Ovis aries: one gene and its partners. The main gene of each other region encodes a partner of the protein of the gene in region 5 in a complex. Links are inferred from orthologs where the notes say so. Each region holds a gene or a part of one and is shown on either strand. Other genes may lie near its edges.

What was found.
Region 1: CHD5 (region 5) and RBBP7 share a complex: the UniProt entries of both Homo sapiens proteins name them as parts of the nucleosome remodeling and deacetylase (NuRD) repressor complex. The link is inferred for Ovis aries from reciprocal best matches to the Homo sapiens genes CHD5 and RBBP7.
Region 2: CHD5 (region 5) and RBBP4 share a complex: the UniProt entries of both Homo sapiens proteins name them as parts of the nucleosome remodeling and deacetylase (NuRD) repressor complex. The link is inferred for Ovis aries from reciprocal best matches to the Homo sapiens genes CHD5 and RBBP4.
Region 3: CHD5 (region 5) and HDAC2 share a complex: the UniProt entries of both Homo sapiens proteins name them as parts of the nucleosome remodeling and deacetylase (NuRD) repressor complex. The link is inferred for Ovis aries from reciprocal best matches to the Homo sapiens genes CHD5 and HDAC2.
Region 4: CHD5 (region 5) and HDAC1 share a complex: the UniProt entries of both Homo sapiens proteins name them as parts of the nucleosome remodeling and deacetylase (NuRD) repressor complex. The link is inferred for Ovis aries from reciprocal best matches to the Homo sapiens genes CHD5 and HDAC1.
Region 6: CHD5 (region 5) and CDK2AP1 share a complex: the UniProt entries of both Homo sapiens proteins name them as parts of the nucleosome remodeling and deacetylase (NuRD) repressor complex. The link is inferred for Ovis aries from reciprocal best matches to the Homo sapiens genes CHD5 and CDK2AP1.

Annotation. Positions count from the first base shown.
Region 1 is NC_056080.1:15,052,134-15,055,633, reverse strand, and holds part of RBBP7 (histone-binding protein RBBP7), read left to right. Parts: intron 1-885; coding exon 886-1,046; intron 1,047-1,783; coding exon 1,784-1,910; intron 1,911-2,028; coding exon 2,029-2,106; intron 2,107-2,933; coding exon 2,934-3,010; intron 3,011-3,500. UniProt on the Homo sapiens protein: Core histone-binding subunit that may target chromatin remodeling factors, histone acetyltransferases and histone deacetylases to their histone substrates in a manner that is regulated by nucleosomal DNA.
Region 2 is NC_056055.1:234,977,801-234,981,300, forward strand, and holds part of RBBP4 (histone-binding protein RBBP4), read right to left. Parts: intron 2,711-3,500; coding exon 2,565-2,710; intron 1-2,564. UniProt on the Homo sapiens protein: Core histone-binding subunit that may target chromatin assembly factors, chromatin remodeling factors and histone deacetylases to their histone substrates in a manner that is regulated by nucleosomal DNA.
Region 3 is NC_056061.1:23,747,405-23,750,904, reverse strand, and holds part of HDAC2 (histone deacetylase 2), read right to left. Parts: intron 3,104-3,500; coding exon 2,986-3,103; intron 921-2,985; coding exon 846-920; intron 341-845; coding exon 202-340; intron 1-201. UniProt on the Homo sapiens protein: Histone deacetylase that catalyzes the deacetylation of lysine residues on the N-terminal part of the core histones (H2A, H2B, H3 and H4).
Region 4 is NC_056055.1:235,253,498-235,256,997, forward strand, and holds part of HDAC1 (histone deacetylase 1), read right to left. Parts: intron 3,098-3,500; exon of another isoform or gene 2,943-3,097; intron 2,641-2,942; coding exon 2,528-2,640; intron 1-2,527. UniProt on the Homo sapiens protein: Histone deacetylase that catalyzes the deacetylation of lysine residues on the N-terminal part of the core histones (H2A, H2B, H3 and H4).
Region 5 is NC_056065.1:46,558,137-46,560,758, reverse strand, and holds part of CHD5 (chromodomain-helicase-DNA-binding protein 5), read right to left. Parts: intron 1,589-2,622; coding exon 1,456-1,588; intron 1,026-1,455; coding exon 830-1,025; intron 1-829. UniProt on the Homo sapiens protein: ATP-dependent chromatin-remodeling factor that binds DNA through histones and regulates gene transcription. May specifically recognize and bind trimethylated 'Lys-27' (H3K27me3) and non-methylated 'Lys-4' of histone H3.
Region 6 is NC_056070.1:52,346,833-52,350,785, reverse strand, and holds the start of CDK2AP1 (cyclin-dependent kinase 2-associated protein 1), read right to left. Parts: upstream 2,801-3,953; 5' UTR 2,543-2,800; coding exon 2,488-2,542; intron 1-2,487. UniProt on the Homo sapiens protein: Inhibitor of cyclin-dependent kinase CDK2. Also acts as a component of the histone deacetylase NuRD complex which participates in the remodeling of chromatin.

The DNA of each region.
Region 1 (3,500 bases), on a different chromosome or scaffold from region 5:
GATCTTTCTGAGGTGAGGAGCAGGTAATAGTTCGACACATTCCACCTTTTCCATGCATGTAAATTGCGTCCAAATGTGTGAGTATCAACAGAGACTAAGGGCCACATGTATTGTGTAACAGAAACCCTTTCAGATAATAAAATGATTGATGAAGAGAGGAAGCTGATACTAGTGTCAGTGGAATTAATTTGAATATACCTTAATGGAATTACCTCTTACTCCATTGAGGTGACAATCACTGCCCTATACTTTGCAATATTTTTTCATAGAAACTTCAGACTCTTCTCAGCTATTTTTATGACGAGATGTTAAGAAAAGACTCAAACTCTCAAAGCCTGCGGATCTGTAACCTTTGAGGTCTGGGCAGGCCCTGTGGTCTCTTCAGTAGCCTTGTAGGGGTTTCTAGGTTGTTCAGCTGTTGGCACTTGCTGATGTATGTAGTGGTTTCTGCTGTGAAGTGACAGCTGTCCAAAAGCTTTCACTTTTTAAGAAGCATGTTTTAGTTTTAATTCCCAGTTTCCCAGCCCAGCATGAAGTTTTAAGATATGCATTTCAGTTTGGTGGATATTGAACCCCAGGCTCGTGTTGTGTAATCTAGGTGAATTTTAGATACTTGATTGAATGTATGTAGGTGGAAACTCAAACCAGAATGTTTCTTGCCTGCCACCATGCTGTCCTCCCGTCCCCATTACACTGTATTTTCCTTCCCCTCTGCATCTCAGATTGTGGAAGCTACACCTGTACACTTTGCTGTTTATGAAACTTCACTTTTTTAAAAAATTTTCATATAGTAAGTAGCTTTGTTTTTAATAAAGAGTTTTAAATAAGGTGTTAGCATTTAAATTCAGTCTCTCATAACTGACTCTTGTTTTGTTCCTTCTTCAGACTGTCTGTCTGTGGGATATTAATGCAGGACCAAAGGAAGGCAAAATTGTGGATGCTAAAGCAATTTTTACCGGCCACTCGGCTGTTGTAGAGGATGTGGCCTGGCACCTGCTGCATGAGTCCTTGTTTGGATCTGTTGCTGATGATCAGAAACTTATGATGTAAGGTGGAAAATTGAGTGGGGTTTTGTTATATGGGTGTCCTGAATGACCATCAGTGATTGTGGTGGCTTTTAAATTGTGTCTTGGCCTTCAAAAAAAGAAAAACAGCTTTAGTGAGGTATAATTGACATGAGAAGCTATAAATAGGGATGGCCTTTTTACGTAAAAGTTACTGTGCTGTATGATTGAACACAACTTTTTATTTAGAAAAAGAAAAAAACAGGTACGTGCACATGAGGAAACATGCTTGGGGCAGTGGTATGTATCAAAATCGGGGATCAGGGTAACTTGCCTTGAAGTTGAGGGAGGAGAGTGATTGTGCATCAAGGCATGGCTACAGGGCTGCATTCAAGCACCTGGAATGCTTTTTATCTCATAAACTAGCATCTGAGGCAAACAAAGCAAAATACTGAATTTGACTAGGCTAGGTTATAGATATGAAACAGTAGTCTCTAGTATTTTGTGCATGCTTGAAATAGTTGGTAATCCAGATAGGGACGTAATGAACAAGAAAGCAGAGGTAGCCCTAGTTTGTTCTGTGCAGGTTTAGAGCATATCACCTAGTGGTTGGAAGTCCAAGTTGCCAACTCTGCATGGTTAGTGTCCCTGAAAGGCAAGTTAGCGAGAGAGGAGTGGCATGGAGTGGTGCTGATGTGGGCACAAGTGTTGGGGAGGGAGGTGGGGCAGGGTTGAGTGGCCTGCTCTTGCGCTGTGTGCCTTGTACCTTTGTGTTTTAGATGGGACACTAGGTCCAACACCACCTCCAAGCCGAGCCACCTGGTTGATGCGCACACTGCCGAGGTCAATTGCCTGTCCTTCAATCCCTACAGCGAGTTCATTCTTGCAACTGGCTCTGCGGATAAGGTTTCTAAGTTTTTGCATATTTGGTGTTTACAAACCTACTTGTCTTTGTTACTACAATATTTTAAAATTCTTATGTAAAGTGCAGAAACAAATTCCTTTTCATTTTATTTTTCTTCAGACTGTAGCTTTATGGGATCTGCGTAACTTAAAATTGAAACTCCATACCTTTGAATCTCATAAAGATGAAATTTTCCAGGTATGTGACAGTTTTCTGGTGTCTCTGTCAGATTTTAGTAACTTTTTACTAGAGAGAAGTTTATAAATTTTTTTCTTTTACATAGTGGACTTGGGACATTGGGTTTTTGTTTTGTTTTTGGCTATGCCATGTGGCTTGTGGGATCTTAGTTCACCAACCAGGGATTGAACCCTGGCAGTGAAAGCCTAGAGTGCTAACCATTGGACCACCAGGGAATTCCCTGTGTTTGTTTGTTTTTTTTTTTTTAAAGCTCCTTGCCTACTGTGTAAGTAAACTAGTGAGAAATAACTTGGAGATTTCTAGATATTGTTAGTTCAGAAGTAAAAGGAACAGTCTTTGCAAAATAGGATCAGTTTAAAAAGTAAAGATAGTTTCCTGGTAGTCTAGTGGTTAGGATTCAGCACTGTCATTGCTGTGGCCTGGTTTAAATCCCTGGTCATGGAACTGAGATCTCAGAAGCTGAGCAGTACAGCCAAAAATAAGTAAATTAATTTTTTAAATGAAATCTTATATATGGTTTAAAATAGAGATGTGCATAGGCTAAGGTACACTTCATGTTAAAAGAAATGTTAAAAGCTTCTGGGGTGGTTTGGGAGCTAAGTTTATTGGGAGCCCTAGCAGAGTTACCCTTGAGGAATATGACCCTCCCAGGGGAAGGCTGAAGAGATGTTTCATTTAAGAGCACCTGAAGGGACAGCACAAAGAGTGAAGGCTTGTAGGCCAAGCAAAGGGTACAGAAGATGAAATGGGAAAATATCTAGGATTAGAACAACAGCCACAGACCCAGTAATGGATGATTCTTTATGTTTTCAAATATGTGTTGCTAGGTCCACTGGTCTCCACATAACGAAACCATTCTGGCTTCAAGTGGTACTGATCGCCGCCTGAATGTGTGGGATTTAAGGTAACTCAGGATCTGGTGACAAAAATTGCATAAATATGCTAATATAGCAGATTATGTAATAATTCATAGACTAGAAGAGCGATTTGCTAACCCCAGTTTAATAAGTCTAAAATTAATCTTCAGTACCTTCCTAAAGAGTCTGTTCCATAAAATAGAAGTGAATCAGCAAATGGAATGTGAAAAAAATTGATGCAAATGTGAGTTTTGATTTTCTTTGTAATTAGGACTGAAGTCAGGGTTAGGGGTGCATGTGTGTTTTAACATCCAAACAATGGTATTGAAAAAACTCTTGCTATAGAAAGGGGTAAAGACGTCAGCTGTTTGTGTCTCCTTAGATTTCAACGTACATCTGCAGGACTAATCTTTTTCAGTTGTTTTTTTCCCACAGGTATGAGCTCTTCCTGTGGGTTGTGTAACTGCTGAGGATGAGAACAGGATAAGCACAGCCAATGCCATCAGAGCTTATGTTCTTCTGGGGGTTCATTATGGA
Region 2 (3,500 bases), on a different chromosome or scaffold from region 5:
GCCTTGATCTGAGAAGATCCCACATGCTGCGAAGCAACTAGGCCCATGTGCCACAACTATTGAGCCTGTGGTCTAGAGCCCAGGAGCCACAGCCACTGAAGCCCATGCACCCCAGAGCCTGTGCTCCGCAATAAGAGAAACCACTGCGATGAGAGAAGCCAGTGCACCACAAGGAGGCCCTCCTGCTGTAACTAGAGAAAAGCCTGCCCAGCAGCAAGGATCCAGCAGTCATAAATTTTAACAGATTATAAAATAAACAGGGGAAAAATTATCTATAACCTATTAGTTAGGGATAACTTACATTACATATATAGTTAACCCAAAAGAAAAAATGAGGAAAACACATAAATAGGCAGTTCAAGAGACAGACAAAAGATAAATATTTTAAAATAAGTCCAACATCACAAATAACTTAAAAAGCAAGTTAGGGAATCCCTGGAGGTCCAGTGGTCAAGACTCTACTTTTGCTGTCAAGGGTGCTGATGCAATTCCTGGTGGGGGAACTAAGATTCTGTAAGCCCCGTGAAGCAGCCATTAAAAACCAAATGACACAAACACCAAAACCAAGAAAGAAAACATCCCTCCAACAACAACAAAGTAAAATGAGCGCGCAGCATTCAATGCTGGTAAAAGCATGCAGAAACAGACATCCATGTATCTGCTACTAGTGAAATTGAGTTTTTTGGAGGGCAACTTAGCAGTACCAATACACTTGAAAATGTCCTTGCAAATTAATCAACATTCAATTTAGATAATTGTTCTACAGCAAAACTATGCAAGATACATGCACAAAGACTTTTTGAAGTCAAAAGATTGGAAACCACTTAAATGTTAATTGAGGGATGGTTAACTACAGCACAGTATAAGCCATCAAAAGGAGGCACATTCCCATATGCTAACAAAAAAGATGGCTGGGATACATGAGGCTGGGAAGTATATTTTATCTTATATTCCCAGAACAAAGAAAAACTGCCTAGCCTAAGTACTTAACGTTATCTGTTGAATGAGTGATCCAATAATTGGGATAAATCATTTAGAAAACTATCAATTTAACAGTGATCCATAAAGGACAGATTTATGTGGTGAGGGGTTCACACAGTTGCTTCGATTTTTTTTTGTCTGCACTACGTGGGCTTGTGACATCTTATTTCCCAGACCAGGGATCAAACAGCACGTCCCCCACTCCCCACTAAAAGCAGGAAGTCCTAACCACTGGACCACCAGGGAAAGCCCTGCTTCAATTTTTAAAGATGATTTATTACATTACCAATCAGAATATTTGCTTTATGCCTAAATAACTAAAAATTCTATTTAAAGACAGTTTGTTTTAATAAAAAGAAAACAAGCTCAGGGAGGCTGAAAGATTTATCCTCAAACTACACAGCTAGTGAGCAGCGCAACAGGGTCCCAAGCCCTAGTCTTCTGATTCTTTCTTTCCAACAACAAAAAAAATTTGCTATTTTTGGCTGTGCGGCATATGGGATCTTAGTTCTCCAACCAGGGATTGAACCTATGCCCCTTGCAATTTAAGCAGAGACCCCTCCATCACTACTAATGCCTACCCAGAGAATACCGCTGCAGTAACCATATCCTATAGTTCACACACACAGGTCAGTGACGCAAAATCATGTTTGCTGGCTCTTATCCTAAGAACTTATTTTGCATTCTGCTAAGCTAAATACGGAATGATCAAAAGAATAACTGCACATTACAATCTTGGCAAATAACTGGAAACCAAAATAACTTAGATAAAGGAATGGATTCCATTAATCAGGAGAAATCTAAGATAAGAAAACATTACAGATTCATTTTCTGGGGCCACAAATCTCAATACTGAAAGTCTATCTTCTACCTTTGGTAATAATTTGAGTTCAAGGACAATAAAGGAAACCCACTCATTTCTATCTCTTCTGAAAGGGAAAAAAATAATTCATGAATAGTTAAGCCCTAAGGTTACCACCTAAAATTAGGATATAATTAAACACTCATTTAATTTTTATATACTATACAGCAAATATCTTTCTATCACTTAAACCTGGAAAGGGTAATTTAAGCCAGTGCTTTTCAATCTTTCTTTCCCCCATTATTGCCCTATAAGATATTCTGACACCTTAATGAAATTCTAATACCACAGATAACCTGTGTATTTGTTTATGCATGCTATGTATATCTATGCTTCAAACAGTTCAAAGAATAAGACTGTTTTCACATATACCCCACTCTGAGAATCAATATTCAATTCCCCAGGGGCAGTATCTTCCATGTTGAGAATGCAAGCATGCATGGCAATAATATATGGTGGATTTTAGCTTCTTGAAATTTGCCTACCACCAAATTTAGTTCAAGAAAGTTTACAGAACTAGTACAGAACCAAGTACATGTTACCTGTCTTCTGATATCTAATATCTATACTGAAAATCAGGCTTTCCAAAGCTTAATATCTTGTTCTTAACTTGAGAGGCTACTTTATCAAACTGTACCCACTTTTTTATGATATTTCAGAGACACAAAAATATAACCAAAATAAGTATCATTCCTTCCTTCACCTTAATTAGGACTCCTACCTCCTTTTTCACTGTCGTAGTGTGAAGCATCAAACTGAGCATCATCGTTAGGGAGCTGCACGCTGGCTATCACAAGGTGGTTTTGTTCATCCGACGTGTGTGTCCCCAGGACAAGTCGATGAATACTGAAGTCTTTCCCTTCTGGTCTGTAATAGCAACATATGGTCAATATTCAGTTTAGTAAACTAAGAGAGACCACAAAGTCAGTGACATACACGTATATACAAGACATTATTACAACAGGTTTTGAGAGAAAGAAGTCATTAAGAGCCATATTTCCTTACTTTTAACATATCTTCCATAGAGCTGAGGGCAGGTACCACATACCACTTAATTTCATAATTATTTCTTAACTTGGCCAAATATTTACAATTACTTTTGAGGAAAAAGTCCGACGGAATAAAATAAAAATTAATTATTCATCCTTTACAAGGAGCTGGAGAGAAAAAAACCAATTGTTGGGTATATGAACACTCCTGGTTACCTCATTAAAATAGAAAGGGACTGACATCAGGTAAGCTAATGTCTCAAAATGAGATAAAACCCAGAAGAGGAGGACAAGAGCTTTGAAAAACAGTATTCCAAGGGAGGTAAGCAAAGATGAAGGTTCTAATACTATGAAGTAATATTCTAATTTAAAGATGGTTTGGGAAAACTGACTTCCTTGGTGGCTCAGACAGTTAATCTGCCTGCAATGCAGGAGACCTGGGTTCAATCACCGAGTCAGGAAGATCAACTGGAGAAGGGAATGGCTACCCTCTCCAGTCTTCTTGCCTGGAGAATTCCACGGACAGAGGAGTCTGGCAGGCCATAGCCCGTGGGGGTGGTCTAAGATTAACTAAGTAACAGAACTAGGACTGAAATCTAAATCTGACTTTAAATGTGGGGAAACAGTGGGAGAGTAGGTCAAAAAGCAGATTGAAATCAGACTCTAGG
Region 3 (3,500 bases), on a different chromosome or scaffold from region 5:
TCAGACATCAATATGCAGTTCTCATTCTTAATAATCCAAGAACTAGCCAAATTTCCTACATTTTTACAATGGTTTGGAATGAATCTGTACATGATTTATCCACTATTTTCAACCCATTGTTCATGTTTTAAAAAAGGCACAGGTTTTTACTATGAATTAAAACACTTTTTACAGGAAAAATGTCAAACACAATGAACTTACTTTAGTAATTCAAGGATGGCAAGCACAATATCATTAACATAACAGAATCCTGATGCTTCTGACTTCTTGGCATGATGTAATCCTCCAGCCCAGTTAACAGCCATATCAGTTTGTTGTCGGTTTAACTTCACAGCACCAGCTAACAATTAAAGATAGGAGAAATGTTTAAATGTTCAAAATTAAAAGTTACTATAACTAGACAAAAGCCCTAGAGGAAAGAGGATGTCATGCATAAGCAAATGAGTATAAAATCATAAGAGGACCACTGCCATGGGCACTAACAGCTTCTCTTTAGGTGACTATTCTCCTGTAGCTGTGATCTGGTTACATAAGAGCACACAGTTGGAAAGTGGTAGTGACAACGGTAGCTAGAAGAAAGGGAGGAAAAAGAAGTCTCTAACTGGAAATGCAAGTGAAGTAAAAAGCTGCAAATAAAAAGTTTGAGACATTATGATCACAAAACTGGGTGGGGGGGTGCGCGCCACTGAAAACAACTGTAACTGTAGACAGCTATAAACATACTATACACATACTACTTTTGTTATTAAAATCAGACACTATTAAAGCTTGTTTCAAACAAATATCTCAAAAAATACACACAAGTTTAAATCAACTTCTAAATTTGACGAAATCAAGACACTTACCAACTGAGCCACCAGTTGAAAGCTGACAAAACTCAAAAAGTCCATCAAACACTGGACAGTCCTCTCCGACATTAACTGTGGAAGACGGATTTCATTAATTTCAATCCATTCTGTGAATCAATGAAAGCCTTTTCTTACAAAAACTATATCCTAAAAATAACATGTGTTTGATGCAATCATAAAACATACACATCATAGTAGTAAAGTTTGCAATTTTATCCAAGGCAGTTAAAATATAAGGTCTGAAATACCACCACCAATTCTTCACATGATTATCTATGGAAAATATCTGCTTTTTAAACAAATCAGTAGCTATCAAAATAGAAAAGGTATTTGGGGTTATTTAATTAAAATACGAGGTTAAATTTCCTAGGCATTTCTCCTTAAATATAGAGCAGTAAATTAATTAAAATCCTAAAAAGTTTAAGCTCACTTACTTTATGATTTACATTTTTTAAAACTCCTTTAAGTATACAGAATATCCATAACTTTGAAATGTACTGATCACCAAAAAAATGTAACAGTTGGTTGCCCACATCCATGGTTAGTGTTAATCTTAAAAGATGGTAAGAATTCCGTAAGCTGATGACAGCCAAGATACAGATGAAAGAGATACTTAAGGCACAAGGAGACAGCACACGAATATAGATACACAGCACATCACAACATATTTAGCTTCTTGGTACTGAGAGGATGAAATGGACACAGATTGTACAACCCATTCTCAGTTCTCCTCACCCCTCAATTTATATCCTCTTCAAGAAAAAGGGTCATTACTTACTTTGTATAGGTTTGTACATCCTTAATTTATTTTAACATATACATTTTATCTTCCTGCTATTCAGATATGATCATTATCTTAATACAATTCAGTATTATGTAAATTTAAAACCAATCCTGTTAGTTCATTTTACCTTAGGGCTAACTATGACTTAATCTAAGCCTAAATCCCCATTGAAAAAACAGGGGCAAATAATATCTATTAATATTTGTAATACAACATCTTACTGAATCAAATGAGATAAACAAAATGTACATCAAATTCTATGAATTTATAAGATGTCTAGCAACTACACTTAATTTAGTATTACTGAACAAATAATACTGTTTTAACAAAATCATTAATGAAGTCCATCAATAAAAACATCGGAATGAATGCCAGTATCAAGCTTTAAAAAACATTGTTCTAGTCATTTTAGAAAGACATCTTGCACTCTATCTTCTTGCATTCAATCTCTAATAATAAAATATCTACAAAAGATAACACTGTGTAGAAGAGAGTCAAAAGCTTCATTGATACAACAAAGGGAAATACAGATATACGTACAACTGTCCCTTGGTATCAACAAGGTATTGTTTTTAGGACCCGGATGATAGCAAATTCTGGGGATGCTCAAATCCCTCATACAGTGTTTTCATACAACCAATGGAACATCCTCCCATATATTTAAATCATCTCTGATTACTCAATATTTAATATAATGATAGTGACCATGGGGTCACTAAGAGTCGGACACGACTGAGCAACTTCACTTTCATGCATTGGAGAAGGAAATGGCAACCCACTCCAGTGTTCTTGCCTGGAGAATCCCAGGGACGGGGGAGCCTGGTGGGCTGCTGTCTATGGGGTTGCACAGAGTCGGACACAACTGAAGTAACTTAAGCAGCACCAACAGATAGTTGTAAATGCAATGTAAACAGCTGCCCACAAGAGGTAAATTCAAGTTTTGCTTTTTTGGAACTTTCTGGAATAGTCTGGATTAAAGCACACAAATAGAAGACAAGAAACATACACACCAGACTACTGCCAAAGTACAGTCATATTTTTAAAAGCAGGGGAAGGAGGTTTCCCTACCAACATCCACTATCTCAAAGTTAACATGGAACCAAACCAAAGAGCAAAGAACATCCAAATAGCTCTTTGGCAGTTCGGCAGACCAATAAGCTTCAGGTAGGCTATTTTTTTTTTTTTTTTTTTAAAGCAGCTTTAGTATTGTCACAGGGACTTTTAAAAATAAATAAATAATAAAAATAATTAGATCAGGAAAATATCTAGATTTAGGTAACTCTAATTGCAAGTTCTGAAAGTACTTATTTATACTTATCCCTCCTAATATATACTTTTAACAAAGAAACGTACATCTCTGCATCTGCTTACTGTACTCAGACATGTTATCTGGTCTTATTGAACGTAGAAATTTGATGTACTCATCACTGTGGTATTTCGTCATTTCTTCAGCAGTGGCTTTATGGGGCCTCTGTGAAGAAAAATAAATGTCAGAATTGTGTAATTACAACTGGTTAGATCAAGGTTACCAAACACAAAGTATACAATGTCCCCTACCACTACTCTCAAGAGAACTGTCTGCCAGAATAAAAGAGATACATTTCAAAGCAAATCCAAATTTATACATATGTGTTTTAGAAAGCAGTAATCAATTTCAAAAACAATATTCCTTTTAAAAGGATTACACAGGTCTAACACCAACTATGAATCAATCACTCCTTTTTTTTAGTGGAAACAGCTCAATCCTTCTAAAGACTCTACTTTCTAACATTTTCTACCATAAACCTTCTGCTCCAATGCCAGTAATTTCATCACTGACCATTAATTTTCAGGAAGGCTGAGACTCATCCAGGTAAAATGAGACTCAT
Region 4 (3,500 bases), on a different chromosome or scaffold from region 5:
ACATGAAAGAGAACATGGTCTAGCGATTTCAGCAAGAGATTACACTGGGCTTTTGCTTTAGTTTACAATAAGAATACCACACAGATGAAGTAATCTCCAATAAGGTATTATTATCTCCTATGACAGCCATGGTTGGTTACTTCCCAAAGAGCTATTCTCTCCCTTCCCTCTTTTTAACAGATCTCAATTTGGTTGGGTATACCCAGCCCCAAGGATCAAATTGCTGGTGAATGGTCTAAGTATGGCAAATGACCCAATGAGACTTAAAGGGAAATCTGTTAGGAAGTTGCTAGGAAGGGCTTTCTTCTTTAATAAAAATAGTATAGGGTAGGCACAGCGGAGAGTGATTAAAATCAAGGTTGCTATAAAGATTAAGTAAATAACAGTAGCCCTGGCTTGGTACCTAGCAATCTTCAACAAATGTTAGTTAATTTCTCCTCTCACTTAAAGATATGACCCTTTTTTTATTATTAATATATCAGTATCACTCATGGAGGTTAATAAAGTCCCTGGGTTATAACAAGTACTCAACAAAAATCTGTTGAATGAAAAAAAGAAACAGTGCTTAACGCAACTCTTGAAAATGAGAAAGATATGACTAGGTGGAGTAAATAATCCTCCCCATCAGAATGGGGTGGAAAGAGGCAGAATCTGATCTGGCTGAAATGGAGGGTTCTGAGGGTGGAGTGGCAGGGAGGGAGGCAAACTGAGGCCAGGTGAGCATGGCTGAGATGTGCAACAGGCAGCCCCGTGGAGCCCTGGTGCTTACTATTCCACATTCAGGTACCCTCTCTGTATCTAAATACTAGTCTGTTCCCTGGAGTCCCTGAAAACCTCTGCTATCTTTTATGTTTTTCATTCCCAGATGCCCTTCACACCTGAAAATGCTCTCTGGTCCCAAGTTCCATCTGCTCCTCCATCTACCTTCCCTCCTTGCTTCCCCAGCTGCCTCCAGGGGCTCCAGAGACGTGACACGGTCGCCTGGGACAGAAGATTCCTCTCCTTTCAGTCTCTGGAATGGTGGGGAAGGATGCTGCTGCTGCTAGGTTACGTAAGCTGTCGGCACAGACTTCATCAACTCTTACATTCTAACCATAAGGCAACACAGGCCCCCAGCCCCTCCTTATTTTCTCATTTGGACTCTTGCAACAGCCTCCTAACTTAGCCTCCCTGCTTCTAAAATGCATGCCTATTCCTATTTCTCATTTAAAATACTTCACTTGGGACTTCCCTAGTGATTCAGTGACTAAAACGTCACGTTCCCAATGCAGTGGGCCTGGGTTCAATCCCAGGGTTAGGGAAATAGATCCTGCATGCCGCAGTGAAAGGCCCTGAATGCTGCACCTGAAGAGCCAGCACACCACCATGCAGACAGAAGACGCTGTGGGCCACAGCTAAGAGCCGCACAGCCGAACAAATAAACAGAACGTTTTGAATAAACACTTCTTTTGTTTTTTACAGCCTCCAGAAAAGTTCAAATTGGGAAACTCTGGACCAAATTTGGCTCACAGATATGTTCATGCACTTTTGTTCCTACATGTTTCCAACAAACCTGGGCCAACATTTTAAACCTTGAAGACTCTATGTAATAATCCAGAGTTCTGGCTTCTCTTTAAAAACCACTATGTGCTTGGTCACTCAGTCGTGTCTGACTCTTTGTGACCCTTTGGGCTACAGACCACCAGGCTCCTCTGCCCATGGGATTTTTCAGTTAACAATACTGGAGCGGGTTGCCATTTTCCTCCTCCAGGGGATCTTTCCAATCCAGGGATGGAATCCATGTCTCCTGTGTCTCCTGCATTGCAAGCAGATTTCTTTACCCGCTGAGCCATCAGGGAAAACTGGAAGATGTGGCAAAAGACATCAGCTGGAGCCAGGCCAAATGGCTAGAAAGTCCATACGCTCCAGTAACTATAGAGACTTGGTATCTAGTTCAACACAGTTCCAATCACTTAGTTTTTAGGGACTAGATTTTTTGACCCTGGCCTAGCAAAACTGCTTAATATAGCACACCCAACTCTTGCTGACCTCTCCAGCTCTAGCTCCCCTCTCTCACACTTGCCAACTTTATACTGCAGCAATACTTGCACACTAAACTACTTACATTTCCCTAAACACATCATATTGTTCCTACCTTTCTGCCTTTTTGTATATGCTCTTCCCTCAGCCTAGAATGCTAGTCCCCTCCTGAACTCCAGGCTAATTTCTATTTAATCTTTAAAACACTGTTTAGCTATCACTTCTAGGAAACATTCCAAGGCTCCCTTCCACATTCCACCTCAATATCCCTGAATCTTACACATTTTTAAGTCATTGCCCTTACACACTCTAGTACAATTTGTGTACATGTTGTTCACCAGCACTAGAGTGAGCACGTTAAAAAACAATCTCTACCATTTACAATGTCTGCCACGTAACAGTCACTCAACACATTTCATGAGTAATTGAAAAAAAAAGAGATAATGAATGATATATGGGGAACCAGAGCTGAAGAGGCTAGGGAGGGGTGAAGCTCCCAGTAACTCACATAGATTTCCATCTTCCGGTAGAGACCATAGTTAAGGAGTAAATTGTGAGTCATACGAATTCGGTGAGGCTTCATTGGGTGGCCTTGTCCATAATAGTAATTTCCAACATCCCCTGAAGAAGAAAGAGTGACAGCTTCAGTGACACAGTTAGACACACACTCCCAGGAGAACCCACAGATTTTTACAACAAATTTCTAGGCAAATTCTGTCTGGTTCATTCTAGGCTCCAAGATTCTCTCCCACATCAAGGAAGGGTAACTCCAAAAGAAAACAAAAAGCAGGGGACCGTAGTGAGATGAGCACTTAAGGATGTCTGTCTGGCCCAGTTTTTTCCCTTGGAACCCAAAGGCATTAGACAGTGTGAGTGGGTCAGTCCAAAGCTACTGGGGAACATCGGCCAGTGAGGTGACTCACCTCACTGTCTCCAAGGAATTCACTCCCACAACAGAAAGAATAATCATCACTACTCAGAATTACTGTAAGTCACAGTTCACCTCCTGCACATCAGAACACTTTATGATGTCAAAGCACTTTTGCAATCACTTTCTTACTGGATTCTCACAAATACCCTGGAAAATAGTTAAGACAGGGAGTATTATTCCCATTTTATAGATTAAAGACTAAACTCATCATCTCTGTAAAAATTAGCTTATCCATTAATTTTCTTTTTCTATTTGGCTGTGCTGGTCTTCACTGCTGCTCAGGCTTTTCTCTAGCTGAGGAGAATGGGGGCTACTCTCTAGCTGTGGTGCTCAGGCTTCTTATTGCAGTGCCTTCTGCTGCGGACCACGGGCTTTAAGGTATGCAGCACGTGGGCTCAGCAGCTGTGGTTCTCCGGCTCTACAGAGCACAGTCTCAATGACTGTGGCACATGGGCTTAGTTGCTCCGAGGCATGTGGGATCTTCCCAAATCAGGGACTGAACCCATGTCTCCTGCACTGGCAGGCAGATTACCACTGAGCCACCAGGTTG
Region 5 (2,622 bases):
AGCAACTAAGCTTTCCCACCACAACTCTGAGGCCACACACCACAACAAAGATCCCGCATGCCGCAACTAAGACCTGACACAGCCAAATAAATATTCAAAAAAAAATAGATAACCAATAAGGACCTCCTATACAGCACAGGGAACTCTGCTCAATACTCTGTAATGACCTTTAAGGAAAAGAATCTAAGAGTTGTTCAGTCGTTCAGTTGTGTCTGATTCTTTGTGACCTCATGGATTACAGCATGCTCAAGCTCCCCTGTCCTTCAATATCTCCCAGAGTTTGCTCAGTCTCATGTTCATTGAGTAGATGATGCCATCTAATTATCTCATCCTCTGTCACCCCCTTCACCTCCTGCCCTCAATCTTTCCCAGCATCAGGATTTTTTCCAATGAGTCGGATCTATATGTATAACTGATTCACTTTGCTGTACAGCAGAAAGTAACAAAACATAATAAATCAATTATATGTCAATAAAAACTAAAAAACTTTAAAGGGTCCTTATCTCTTTCACTAAAATAAGTTAAAAAATAGAAATAAAGCATATTGTCTGGGCTCAATAAACAAGCCTGTACAACTTAATATTCTGCTATATCACCTACCCCCCCACCCAGGGCCTACACAGCGCTGACCTTCAGAAAAAAGCCAGAAAAGCAAGGCCCTCACTTTTCCGGCAGGTAAGAGCAGAGGCTGGGTGACAGTCTGTCCCATCTGGCTTGGAGGCTGTGCCCTTGGGGCTGAGGTCCCAAGCCCCACACCCCCACCTACTGCCAAGGAGCCACTGGGCAGACGCAAGCTGTGGGCCCATCTCCAGGGGACGGGCTCACTCACCCTTGTGCAGAACAGCATTGGCAGGCTTGTTTCCCGCGAGAGACTCCTTGGACAGGTGCTGGTGGCTCTCGGCAAGGCACTCCACCTCGGCCAGGCGGGCGTTGAGGGCCATGGCGGGATGGTTGGGGTCCTGGGTCATGTTGAGGTATGCGGCCCTCCGGAGCTGTTCCTCAATGACCAGCGCCTGCTCCAGCAGCTGGTGGGGGTGCGGTGAGGGGGGGTCAGGGTGAGGGGAGGGACTGAGTGCTGGCCTGGTTGCCTCCCCAACAGCACCCACTCCCACCGGCCAGGGCTCTGAAAGAAAGGAAGGAAGGAAGACAGCCCCTCTCCACCCAGTTGTTGTCCATTCTCTTGGCCACCCCTCAGAGCCCTCCTCAAGCTGGATCCCCTGCACCCATTACCCAGAGCAGGGACGCTCGCCTAGCGGGGTCTGGCTTCAGAGCAAGGAGCCAGCACCTGTTGGTTGACTGACTCAACAATTCCCTTTCATGGATGGTCTGGCCCACACCCGGATATTCGGGCAGGGTATAAGAAATGCTTGCTCGTTTCTTTGCCCCAGGCCTTCTCATAACCCATCCTCTTGCGGCCCCCTAACCTTCAACCTCTGGCCCCTGCCAAGGACTGACCTTGAACCTGCGGGCCAGGAACTTGTTCTTCATCTCCAGGTAGTTGCCCTTGTGGATCTCAGACTTGAAGGGCTCATTGAGGATCATGTATCTCGGGTCGTTCTGGATGTCCTGCCAGCGGGCATAGCCATGCCTAGGTGGGGGCCGTTAAGGGCAAACCTGGCCACAGGGTGGAGGGAGGGAGTGGCGGGGAACCAGCCCAGGGTTTGGCATCTTGGCTCTCCGCTTTCCAGACAGGCATTAACCTTGGCTGCAAGAGGATCATGTGGGTGACAGTGACCTGACAATCAGCGGACACCGACAGGGGCCCCCAGGGGCCCAGGCAGGGCCTGAGGCTTCACCAGATGAACTTCTTCATCCCCCAAATCCAGAGGGTGGAGACAGCTGAGTCCTAACCCCCAGCACCTGTGCTGTGACCCTAGCTGGAAACATGGCACTTGCAAATTAATCAAATCAATTAATTAAATTAAGAAAGGGTCATCCTGGGCTGGAGTGGGCACCAATCCAGTGACTGAGGTCCTCAAAAGAGGAAATTTGGACACAAAGAGATACCCAGGGAAGAAGCCCTGTGACAACAGAGGCAGAGATGAATGATGCAGCTGTGAGCCAAGGAGCACCAAGGAGCCAGGGGCAGGCAAGGAAGGGGCCTCCCCTGGAGCCAGAGGGAACAAAGAAACACCACGAAGTTTTCTTGCCAAGGGCCCACAGCTAGAGAGAGGCCGAGTCAGGCTCTGAACCCAGGCAAGCTGGCTCCAAGCATCTTTTTTTGTTTTTTAACTCTGTGTGTGTTATTTATTTATTTAGTTGCACTGGGTCTTGGTTGCAGCATGTGGGATCTGGTTCCCTGACCAGGGATTGAACTCCCATCCCCTGAACTGGGAGCACAAAATCTTAAGTCACTGAACCACCAGTAAAGTTCCAGCTCCAAGCAATGTAACCTCAGTAAACTGTGGCCTGCAGGCCAAATCCAGCCCACAGCCTGGTTTTGTAAATAAAGTTTTATTGGAACATGGCCATGCTTGTTGGTTTACGTATTGTAGTTACTTTTGCTACCCTGGCAGAGTGGAGGAGTCCTCTGTGAAGTTCGAAATGTCCACTCCCGGGTCCCTCCCAGGAAAGATCTGCTGACTCCTGACCTACAACTTTCCACCTCTCATTATAATGCCT
Region 6 (3,953 bases), on a different chromosome or scaffold from region 5:
GGGTTAGTTCCTGAGAGAGGGAGAAGGAATGGGTTGCAGGCGTGGAAGCAGTGTGGAGAAGTCAGGCAAGAGCCCAGAGCTTGATTTGCCTGTCACCTGGGTGATGTGGTAGTCGACCCGACTCTGAGCCAGTCCTTTGCTCAGTGTTCAGAGGGGGGTGCCTGTGGCCCTGGGAAGAGTTGGCGCAGGGACCCCAAGTTCCACTCATGCCCACAGCTTCCTGCAGACACAGGGAGGGCCGGCGGTCCAGCTGCCCAAGGCCAAGGAGAAAACCAGACAGGGCGTGAGCACGGTCGTCTCAGAGCATCGCAGACAATGCGCGCAGTGTGCGGGGACCAGGGAGGGCCCTGAGCCGAGGGAGGGATTGGCAAAGGCCAGCAGCTCCTGGGGCCAGGCGCGGCTCCCCGCCCCCACGCCAGACAAAGAGCGGCCCGGGCCTGGGGAGCTGGCGGCCTTCCCGCCACTTGGGGCGCCTGGGGGGGCTCTCTGGCGGGGAGGCGGGGGCTTTGTCTAACTCCGCCACTGCCACCGCCGGCCAGGCCGCGGCTTGGCAACTCGCGAGCAGGAGGCAGGGCTGGAGGGCGTGAGGGATGATGACAAGGAAGCCGGAGGAGCGGCAGTGGAGAGTCCATCTTGGATGCAAATGGCTCAGGGAGATGCGGGCTTTCTAAAGGGGTCCACGCTCAGGGCAGGGGGCAGGTGGCCCCTCACCCGAACACCAGAGATCTGGAGACCTCAGCGCTCCTCCTGGAGTTCACCACAGGAGAAGGAAGACAATCTGGGCACAGGTGCTAGCCAGCCCAGAGCAGGGCTTCAGGGTGCCTAAGCGGGTGGCTTGCTCCCTCTGGGACCCCAGTCCCCAAAGGGCCAGGTTCAGGGTCCCTGCCTCAACTGCACCAGGGGAACCTGAGACTTCCTGCCCACCTGGGCCGGCGGCAAGACCCTCCACCCATCCCACCCCAGAGTCAGATGAGGGAGGCAGTGAGAAACATTGGCCACAAAGCCTGCCTCTTAAGGTGTGCAGACCCGAGAGATGAGAACATTTCAGCTGAAAATAGGGGCCGTTTGCTCTTGGGGCTCAGACAGAGCCCACACTTGACCAACTAAACTATCTACCCCCACAGCCATCCACACCCTGAATCTTAACCCTTTCCAATCCCCAAATCTCTGTCCAAGAAGTTAAACACACACACACATATATACACCTACGTATAGGTATATACGTACATGGACATACACTTAGTGCTTTTCTGGGGCGCCCTTCAGATTTTGGAGTTATCGAGTTAACATTAGAAGACAAGGCCCAAAACTTTCGGCCAACTGCCAGCGTGGCACTTCTGACCAGGGAGGCCCATTTCCTTCCTGCCAAGCCCCTGCCTCCACCCCTACCCCCATGCACCTCGCTTTTTTGGAAGTTTCCCACCAAGAGTCTAAAGGAGAACCTCGGTGAGAGGGGGCAGTCAGTCACCTACGAACCCCACAAAATTTTACCACCAGCCACACACATCCCGCGTGCCCCCTTGCCACACACACACCCCGCCCCCGCCCCGGTCTCTGAGGCAAGACCCCCAGACTCAGCCTAAAGCTTCCGGACAACTTATGCAGGAGTTTTCTGGGACCGCCCAGCTTCAGCCCCAGCACACGGAGAGCACTGCTCCTGGAGGAGGCCCCTCTAAACCTAGACTTGGGGGCTCCAAGCCGGGACCCCGGCTCAATGCCTCCCCCGCCCTCCGCCTGCAGGCAACTCCGAAGCCCCCGGTCTTCTTCAACTTCTCTCACTTCGCGCACGCCTGAGGGGACCTCCCGTGCGCCCCGTTTTGGGCACCTGCTCCCCCACGCCAGGCCGGGCGGGCGTCCACAGACCACCTCCCCTGCACCGCCGGTGACCCCAGCGGCCCCGCGCCCTCGGGAGCGGCTGCAACCTGGCGCTCTCGCCGCCCCGCAGCGCCGCCTGCGCGTGGCCCGGCCTTGCTCACGTGCACCCCTGCCTCCCGGACCCCCCGCCCGGGCCTGCCCCTCAGGTCCCCAAGGGCGGACCCGCGCCCCGCTCCCGGCGCCCCGCTCCCGGCGCCCCGCTCCCGGCGCGACCGGGCCGCTCCCGATTCCCGCCGGCAGGGGCCCTCGCCGAGCCGCCCAAAAGCCGGAGGAAAAAGGAGCCGAGAAAGCCTCCCCCGCCCTCGCTCGCCGCGCTCCCCACAAGCCGGGGCCGCCGGCGTGGGGGGGACCGCGGCGGCCGCCCGCGACCCGGGCCCCAGCCCCGGCCCGACCCGAGGCCCGGCGCGGCGCGGGTCGCACCCGCGAACTTTGGCAGCGCGCGCGCCGGAATCATGGCGGCGGCGGCCGCGCTGCCCCGGGCCGGGACCCGGTGCCCGCCGACCCCGGCCGCCGCGGGCTCCCGGGAGCCGGGGCCGGGGCCGGGCGCGCGAGCCCCCAACTTGGCTGCACTTGGGGCGCGGCGCGCGCAGCCCGCGAGGCGCACTCACTCACCGGCGTTGAGGGAGGCGGCAGGCATGTGCGCGGTCAAGTTCGGTTTGTAAGACATCCCCCCGAGCGGCGGGGCGCGCCGGGGCGCAGCGGGGCCCGGCCCGCGAGGGCGGCGGCGGCGGCGAGACCCGGCGGCGGCGAGGCGGTCCTGGCGTCCGTGCGCCCGTCCGTGCGCCCGCCGAGCTCCCGCGCACTTTTTGTTGTTGACGGCTCGGGCCGCACCGGCAAATATGGCCGTCCCTCACCCTGACACCCGCTGCAGTATATCACCCATACATCGGGCGGGCGCGCGGGCGCAGGGGCGGCCGCAAACTTTGAGCGGAGCCAGCGGGGCCGGCCGGGGCCGGGAGGGGGCGGCCCGGCGCGCCGCGGCCGGGCGTCAGGGGGCGGTGCCGCCCGCGGCCGCGCCCCGCGCCTCCGGGCGCACTCGGCGCCCGCAACTTGGCAAAGTTTGGGGGGCTGGGGTCCCGGCAGTGCCCGAGGCCCACCTGGGTCCCCTTCTTCTGCTGCGCTGGCGATGCCTGGAGATTTGTTGCTGTACCGATTCATTTTTTCTTTTTTTTTTTTTTTCTCTAAAGCTAGGTAGGATTGCGGAATTACTTTTTCGCCCCCCCCCCTCCTTGACTGTGGGGGCAGGGATGGAAAATTACCTGGAGAAAATGGTGGCGAGTGGTATTTTTAAGCACGTAGATCATTCCAGACGCCGAGGTCTGCCTTCTCCCCAGAATAAGATCAACCAATTCTTGACATTGATTTCAAATAAATTTCACGTCCCTGTCGGTATTAAGTGGTTGTTAACCCCTTGGCGGCCTAGACTCCTTTGACACTGGACAAAAGCCAAAGGCCTCCTCCCGCGAAAAACACACCGTCTCATCCACCTAATTTTGCATCTTAACTCGTTCAAATATTTAAAAAGCGCCTGCTGTGTGGCGAGCACTGTTCTAGGCGCTAAGACAAGAATAAACTTGACCAAGTTTCTTCTCTCCTGGAGATTACATTGCAATTTTTGACCCTCTTCCTACCCCACCACAGCCCACTTCTCAAATCTGACTGAATTGCAATCATGAAATTTATTTTACATCAGATGATGAAGCTTTTGAAGGTATTATTTCTTGGAGTTCTCCTTAAATAGTAAATCTTCTCAAAAGACACAAGATGCCCGCCCTTTTCTGCCATTTTTAATCGCCCTGCTTTGCAAATATCTTTTATTAGCTACAGACTTTCAGATACATCTGGATCTAGTGAGAATTCTTATTGCCCCAGAGGTAAAGGATACACCCATTCCCTCCCTCCTTCCTTTAGAAGTGAAGGTACAAGCGACACCCCTCTTCCCAGGATCGCTTGTGATCAGCTTTAGGCTGGTTCCGTCAAGGATGTTCAGCGAAGTGTTAGTTCGGGGGTAAATTAATATCATCCTTTTCCTACCCTGCTCTCAGGGGACCAATACTCTAGAGTAGCACTGTCCAATA